Linked DNA regions of Sus scrofa. The protein of the gene in region 1 purifies or fractionates together with the protein of each later gene. This does not show direct contact. Links are inferred from orthologs where the notes say so. Each region holds a gene or a part of one and is shown on either strand. Other genes may lie near its edges.

The links.
Region 2: the proteins of SLC6A15 (region 1) and GPAT3 purify together in Homo sapiens (co-immunoprecipitation; 3 studies listed by BioGRID and IntAct, counting the BioPlex papers as one, with this or other methods). This does not show direct contact. The link is inferred for Sus scrofa from reciprocal best matches to the Homo sapiens genes SLC6A15 and GPAT3.

What each region holds. Positions count from the first base shown.
Region 1 is NC_010447.5:97,091,784-97,096,106, reverse strand, and holds the start of SLC6A15 (sodium-dependent neutral amino acid transporter B(0)AT2), read right to left. Parts: upstream 2,911-4,323; 5' UTR 2,754-2,910; exon of another isoform or gene 2,389-2,753; intron 1-2,388.
Region 2 is NC_010450.4:134,911,951-134,915,209, forward strand, and holds the end of GPAT3 (glycerol-3-phosphate acyltransferase 3), read right to left. Parts: intron 1,784-3,259; coding exon 1,672-1,783; 3' UTR 543-1,671; downstream 1-542. UniProt on the Homo sapiens protein: Converts glycerol-3-phosphate to 1-acyl-sn-glycerol-3-phosphate (lysophosphatidic acid or LPA) by incorporating an acyl moiety at the sn-1 position of the glycerol backbone.

The DNA.
Region 1 (4,323 bases):
AATGCAAATTTCTCACCAATGCACACAACAATTTTATGTTATGACAGGACAAGCGTATTTTCTAACATGCACAAAGTAAAGTTTGAACTATGAATCCCTGGGTTAACTAATAATTGCAGAGTTTAGGTTTTGGAAATTATTCTAATTTAACTTTTCAGTAACTGACAACTATGGCATCTCCCTGACAACTGGCATCTCGAGTAGTTATTATCCAATACTAACATTCTTTATTGTTTGCTATGGTTTGAATGTTTTTGTCCTCTTCCCATCCCATATTCATAAGTTGAAGTTCTAACCGCAAGGTGATGGTATTAGGAGGTGAAAGCCTTTGGGGGTTAACAAGAGATGCTAGAGAACTAACTAGCTCCTTCCACCACATCAAGCCACAGTGAGAAGGCACCGTATAGCAACCAGGAAATTGGCCTTCACTAGAATCTGCCAACACCTTGATCTTGGACCAGTCTCTAAAACTGTGAGAAATACATTTCTATTGTTTATAAGCAATTGAGTTTATGGTAATTTGTTATGGCAGCTTGAACTGGACTAAATAATTCTTACCTTGTTGGATGAGAGAGCACTTATTTCCTAAAAATGTGTATAAATCTTAACGCCATTAAAATACAGTATCTTGGGTTACATATATTGGAAATATAAAGTAAGTCCTGAATCAAGTATCAAACGTGCTATCAAAAAAAGAAAACTTGTCAATAAAAGATGAGATTCTCTTCCTTTCAAAAATGTTAATCCCCGAGTTCCCGTCATGGCGCAGTGGTTAACGAATCCGACTGGGAACCATGAGGATGAGGGTTCTATCCCTGGCCTTGCTCAGTGGGTTAAGGACCCGGCGTTGCCTTGAGCCGTGATGTAGGCTGGAGACGCAGCTCGGATCCCACGTTGCTGTGGCTGTGGTGTAGGCCGGCAGCTACAGCTCCGATTCGACCCCTAGCCTGGGAACCTCCATAGGCCGTGGGAGCGGCCCAAGAAATCACACACACAAAAAAAGACAAAAATGTTAATCCCTGAAAAATAAAAAATAAAACCACACTGAATGTATCAAGTGTAGTAAAATGGTCAATGAATTCAGAAATATATCGAAAATGTTTTAGTCTAACAAACATACATAGACCATTGATCATAAGGCACAAAAAACAGATATTCGAAAAAATAAAATAGATGATTTTGGTAGTGAAATTCTCCGAATGCAATGAGAGAAATACACACGCTCTTCAATCCATCATGAGGCTTTTACTAAAGACCTAATACAAGTCAACCTCCACCACAAGGCGTTGAAGACCTAAGTAGGTGTGTTTCTCAGCGCCTTTCGTGCAGAACGGAGGCTGGGTGGGGTAGGAGCTCTCCGTGGGGTAGTTCTTCAAAAAATGGTTATTTCCTGAAGCAAACGCCCTGTTCCCTGGGCGAGCAACCAGGCAATGACAGGTACAAAACAGCTTTAAAGACTGGAAGATAAGAGCCGAAATGCAGCACAGAATGCAAACCCTTCGGTCCTCTCGTGTCTCGGGTCAGTGAACCAAGCCAGTGGTGCCCACTTAGACTGGGGTCTACCTTTAAGACCTGGAGGGGAGGCGGCCGGCCGCTCAGAAACGGTAGCAGCCTCATTTGCATAAGCACCCAAACACTGCTGACGTCACCGCGCCCGAGTGCGGACCCCGCCCCGTCTTACTCCACTATTTCCACCCGAGGGCAGAGAATGGAAAGGCGGAAAGGAATGCACCGCACCGGGGAGCGCGAGCTGCAGGGCTTCCCTCGCCGCGAAAGGGCGGAAGATGCCGCTTCTCTGCATAACGGAAAAGAATTCCCGCCACTGCAGCTCTGAGCCCGAGCGGGTCAACCTGTCTCCAGGACAGCTGGGGCGGGTTTTGATCCATTCATATTTGTAAGGCGGGTATGCGTGAGAGATGAGACTGAAAGTCTATGCCTGTGCTCAATTTCGTCCTCTGTCCAGGCCATGCACGAGCCAGCCGAGTCAACGAAGTCTGAGATTCCAGTTCTTCCTACCCCCTCCTTTAAAATCCCAGCACCAACACCCTCACGCCACAGTCTCAAATGCTTGGATGGGCAGAAACACACGGGCTGTGCTTTCTTGGGCAGTCATGTGCCTTGTGCGGGAGGAAGGCCCACTTCTGGACCATTTCTCGCAGGATGCCTCGGCAAAAGCGAACTGGCGTCACGTGAACACACACCGTCTTGGGCAAATGCCTTCAGCAGTTGCAACAGCAACCAGAAGCGAATGAGGAATAGGTTGGCTCCTCTCCCCGCCCCACCGCCCACGCACACGAGGTTCGGCTTCCTCCTCACCTCGAACCTTGAAAGCGTCTCGATCCGGTCCCGACCCTCCCAACTTTCTGACTTGCCACGTCGGGCCCCACCCTTCAGCCAACCCTGCCTTGACGTGGGAAGAACTAGTCTCTTGGGGATGCTGTGGTCACGACCAAAAGGAAGGATGGCGGCACGTTTCGACCCATGTGCTTTCAATTACGCGCCGCCTCTAGGCCCCGGGATTGTGCACAGGTGCACTACCCTGAGCCTGAAGGGTCTCCCGAAGAGCTCAGCCTCGCCTTCTCGGGGCTCTGGGGCCTCCCTGCCTCCCCTCACTCCTGGACACAGCCTGAGTCCTTCCCAGGAGAGCCAGCCATCAATTCCGCTCCCTTCCCGGGTCCCGGGCTCCAGGGTGCCAAACGGTGAGCCCCACCCCAACCTAAACCGTGCCCTTAGTGGTAGGAGCGTGTCCTCACCGTTAGCGTGTGTTGGTCGGGGGCCTCTTGCTGTTTCCACGTCCCGACAGCAGCAGCAGCAGCAGCAGCAGCAGCAGCAGCGGCAAAAGGGTCTGGTCCAGGTGGCTGCGACCGAGGCCGCGAGGAGCCGGGTGGAGAGAAGCGGCGGCTGGCCAAGGGCCCGGAGGGCGGGCAAGGAGCGACTCGTGAGCGCCCGAGTGTCGGCCAGGGAAAGAGCACGAGATGCAGGCGCGCGGGTGCGTGCGCGCGGGTATGTGTGAGTGTGTGTGAGGGAGGGTGTGACGGAGGCGCCCACGTGCCCGGCCCGCCCAAGCGGCGGCCGCCGACAGGCTGCGGGGGAGGGAGGGAGGAGGCTGCGGGCGGCTGGGGGACGCGAGCCAGGTCGCCAGGCCCCGCGCCGCACCTCCCCGCCCCGCCGCCCCTTGACGCAGAGGCCGCTGCGGCTGCCTCGCCGCGTCGTCCCTGCGCCCCGGGCGGGGGGCGGGAGGGGTTGGGGAAGCCCGCTTCCAAGCCAGCAAACCGAATCCGCCTGCCATCCCGTCCTCCCCCAACTCTCAGGGCACCTAGAGGATGGGCACCCGTTACCCGCCCCCTGCCGCCGCCACCACCCGCCTTTGTCTCAGCCGGATAACAATGGCAGTGGTCCGACCTGACACCCTCTGAATGTTTTCCCAGGGTCCGTCGGCGACTGAACTAGAGGAGGGAGGGAACCCCAAGAACCCTTCTCCCCAGCTCGCTCCCTGGGCCGGCCATTTACATCTCTTGCAAAAGGAAAGCCCGCTGGGCATTTGCTTCTCCGTCCACCGGGGTCCCGATAGCGGCCAAAGTTTCTGGCCGCATTTTGAAAGGCTGTTTGAGGGAGCTGGTCCTCCCCCTATGTTGGTGTCTTAGCATCCAACTCGCCTCCCAGGGGTCTTATTCCTAAAGGAAGCCTGACCTCCCTCTTGGAGCAGTGAAGCCATCCTCTTGAAGCCACGTGGAGAACTCCTGAAACATACATGACTGAGCACAGAGCGTAGCCGACTTTGGAAAATGGCTGAATCTTCCCCCTAAGCAGGGCGTATACTCTAGAAATTAAATTGTATGTCCTTAAACTCTGCAATTGGGAAGAAATGCAAAATGAACATACAACATATTGGAGCAGAAAGGTTTAGTAATTTGGTGAAGGAGTTTTCCATTTCCAGATGACTGGGTAGTACCATTAAAAAATACATTTGTGCACCTTTAGGCCTTCCAACAGTCCCTCAGATGCTGACCGTTTGTATCCAATTAAGGCTGAATTAAATAATAAGGCCATTGGAGACAGGTTTTTCATGCAGTGAAAAATCTCCTGAAAAGAAATCACAAGACCTAAATTTCAGGTCAGAACTTTGCTACTAATCCTCAGCTTTTAATGCAGCCAAGAGAGCTTTTCCTCAGTCTCTTCCAAACCCACCTTTAAAGCACTTTTTAAAGAAAAAAGAAAAGAGGGGAGTTCCTGTCATGGCTCAGCGGTTAACAAACGCCACTAGCACCCCAAGAGGACGCGGGTTCGACCGCTGGCCTTGCTCAGTGGGTTAAGGACCGGGTG
Region 2 (3,259 bases), on another chromosome or scaffold:
AATCTTCTGCCAAAAAAATAAGACAAAGAGTCACCCCGACATGCGTATTTGGATTTGCTGATTTTCGGTCAAGCTCACTCCCAGAAGAGTCTGCATGGGGGGAAGCGTAAAGCAAGAAGGGAAAAGATGGAAGGGGCGTGAGAGGAGAAGAGCAGCTGACCGTGGAGGTCACCTGTTCGTAACTTTTCCTTTGGGGTCGACTCCATCTAGCTGGAGAAGAATACACGCTGACAGTGCTGTGGCAGACCTACCTGTGCACACGGTCAGTTAAGGCAGAGCTCCTGGGATCACCTGCAAAAGAAGTGAAGTCTGTGCCTTTGCCCAAGACGGAGTCCACAGGGTCAGAGTCCAGGCAACTAGGCTAAAAAAGAAGAAAAAACAAACCAAAAGCAGCGGTTTATGTTTCTCATTTCCCAGCTGTTCCAGTCCAATAAAATCGAACTATGGCACTGAATTGAAAAACAAATGACCCTTGTTGGCAATGAAAGAATTTCAGCTACTTAAGATCAGCAGAGGGTAGAGGTGCAGGGAAAACAATGCGACACGGTTAGAAATATAGACTTTATTTATATTCGACTGTAAGACAGTTTCACATTTTGTAGATGGTTACCTGAAGACATAACACCCCGATGGTATCATATGGGCATCAGACGTCGCTTACGCTACGGAGTCGAGTCGGGAAACACTTACTGTCCCCTTTAAAAGGTTAAGGCTCAGTTTCCAAAAAGTAATTCTACCCTTATTTTCCGGCTGCAGAAACTGGGAAAGTCCTGAAATAAACAGCAAAGGGCGGGGGAGGGGGGAGCCCCACGCCTCACTCCCTTGTTCTTACTCCCGCTTGAGTCGGTATAATCTGTTGTCATTATAAAAGGCTCCTCCCATTTGAAAATAGGTTTGGTTACAAGATCAAACAAATCAGTAGATGGGAAAGGCCTTAGGTATAGATCTTTAGCATACAAACAAGGAAAACTAAAAACTTTACGCCCACCGCTGGCTGACATAGGTTTATCTGCAAGTTGCCAACACACAAATGTGCATACACAGTTAACTCAGACTCGCTTTTCTTTGGCAAAGTTCAAATAGTATGTTTTTTCTAAAGAGCTAGTTAAAAACATTTACGTTTCCTTTCGACTTTCCAATCAAGTGGCCGCAAAGCTGTCCTTTCTTTTCAACCTTGCGTGGCACAAAACCCTGACAGCAACCTGGGAGGGCCCTGTGATCCCGGTGTCAGTGGCTGAAGCGGGTGGGAGGACAGGGCTCAGCACGCTGGCTGTGAGCAAAGAGTCTGGGGTACTCTTGTGAGGCTCACCCTATCAATGAGTGCCAGACACAACCAGCAGTAAAAGTGTTTTAGAGGCACTTCCCACTGCCTGCCCCAATAAAAGATTTCATTCAATCCACAAGACACCATCAAGTTTTACAAAAGGCAGCATCTGTTTAAACTCAGTCAACGGCCTTACAGCTCCGGAGGCTAATGCTCTAACAACAACAAAAGCCAAAAGGGCACCTTGGGTTCTGCCTCTGGCGTAAAGAGGCAGAGACAATCATCCCCCAGTAGAAAAGACTAACAATAAAAACAAAGACGGTAAAACCAAGCGAGGCCCATCCTGCTCCCCCCAACCCCGGCACATTCCTTTTCCAAGGACTGGCTCTGGAAAGCCCCGCGGGCGTTCAGTCCAGTTCGGAGGTGACAGATCCATTGCCCACGATCATCTTGCTGTAATTCTTCTGCTGCTCTTCCTTAAAGGTGTCCTTCACCTTGGCTCTCTTCAGACCTCCATCCCTGAGGACAGGAACACAAATAAGGAAAAGGTCCTCCTAGCAGTGATTTAAAAGGCTTATCTACTGGCATTCCCATCGTGGCTCGGTGGTTAACGAATCCGACTAGGAACCATGGGGTTGTGGTTCGATCCCTGGCCTTGCCCAGCGGGTTGGGGATCCAGTGTTCCCGTGAGCTGTGGTGTAGGCCGCAGATGTGGCTTGGATCCCGCATTGCTGTGACTGTGGCAAAGGCCGGCAGCAACGGCTAGACCCCCAGCTGGGGAACCTCCATAGGTTTAGGGTGCAGCCCTAAAATTTTTGTCTTTTTAAGACAAAAAAAAAAAAAAAAAAAGTCATTCAAATCTAATCTTACGTCTATCACATCACGTTTTCATTCAAAGCACTATCTTTCAGGTGTTTATTTATTTACTTATTTTCCTTTTCTAGGGCCACACCTGTGGCATATGGAGATTCCCAGGTTAGGGGTCAAATCGGAGCTGCAGCTGCTGGCCTACACCACAGCTCACAGCAACGCCGCATCCTTGACCCACTGAGCAAAGCCAGGGATCGAACCCACAACCTCATGGTTCCCAGTCGGATTCGTTAACCACTGAGCCACAACAGGAAGTCCTCTTTCAAGTATTTATAATCTTCCATATTCCAAAACAGACTCGGAATAAAACAAGCAACAAAAACCTAAATTGCATTCAGCCAGTAATAGTGTCTACGTACGCAGGACTCCTTAATTCAGAGCCTGTGAATCTTTCTCTCCAGTGTGGTGACCACAGAGTCCCGCCTGGTTACAAGGGCTCTGCGTGCCTCCCCTTCTTTGGACCACACAGAGGAGGAGGCGGGAAGAGCTGGAAGACAGCTAGGCTCTCAGGGCCACTAGCTCACTCCTAATCCAGGGTTTTAGATTTTAACTCCTAAGAGGGCACAGACCCTGAACTTGCTCATTTCATACTGTTTAATTTTAACCCAGCTGAGCACGAGTGTCTACTAAGCACTCTCTAATGATGATGAACGGATCATAGGTTAGTCAGTGAACTCAATGCCATCAAGAGCTTCACCTACAAGCACACCCCTGCTTGAGCCCACTGCACTGTTCTGGCCTCTAGAGTCAAAACTAAGACACAGCCCGCCAGGAAGTCCTCGGGCTAAAGACAGACTTCGGTCCACAAGTCTTCCAGGGGTCAGCTGTAGGAAAATTCCACGAAGTAAAGTGAAATTCACAGCCAGATTTGTTTGAGCATCCTGACCTCGTTTGTACTCCGTCCTCCTTCCCAAGCCCCAGTGAACCCTGTGCTGCCCTAAGCACCTGTGACTTCAAGTGTTACCCCATCCCCTCTGATGGCCGCACATCTTAATTCTTTTTTTTTAATTTTTAAATATTATTTATTTAGAGTTCCTGTTGTGGCTCAGGGGTAACAAACCTGACTAGTATTCATGAGGACACAGGTTTGATCCTTGGCCTCACTCAGTGGGTTAAGGATCCGGT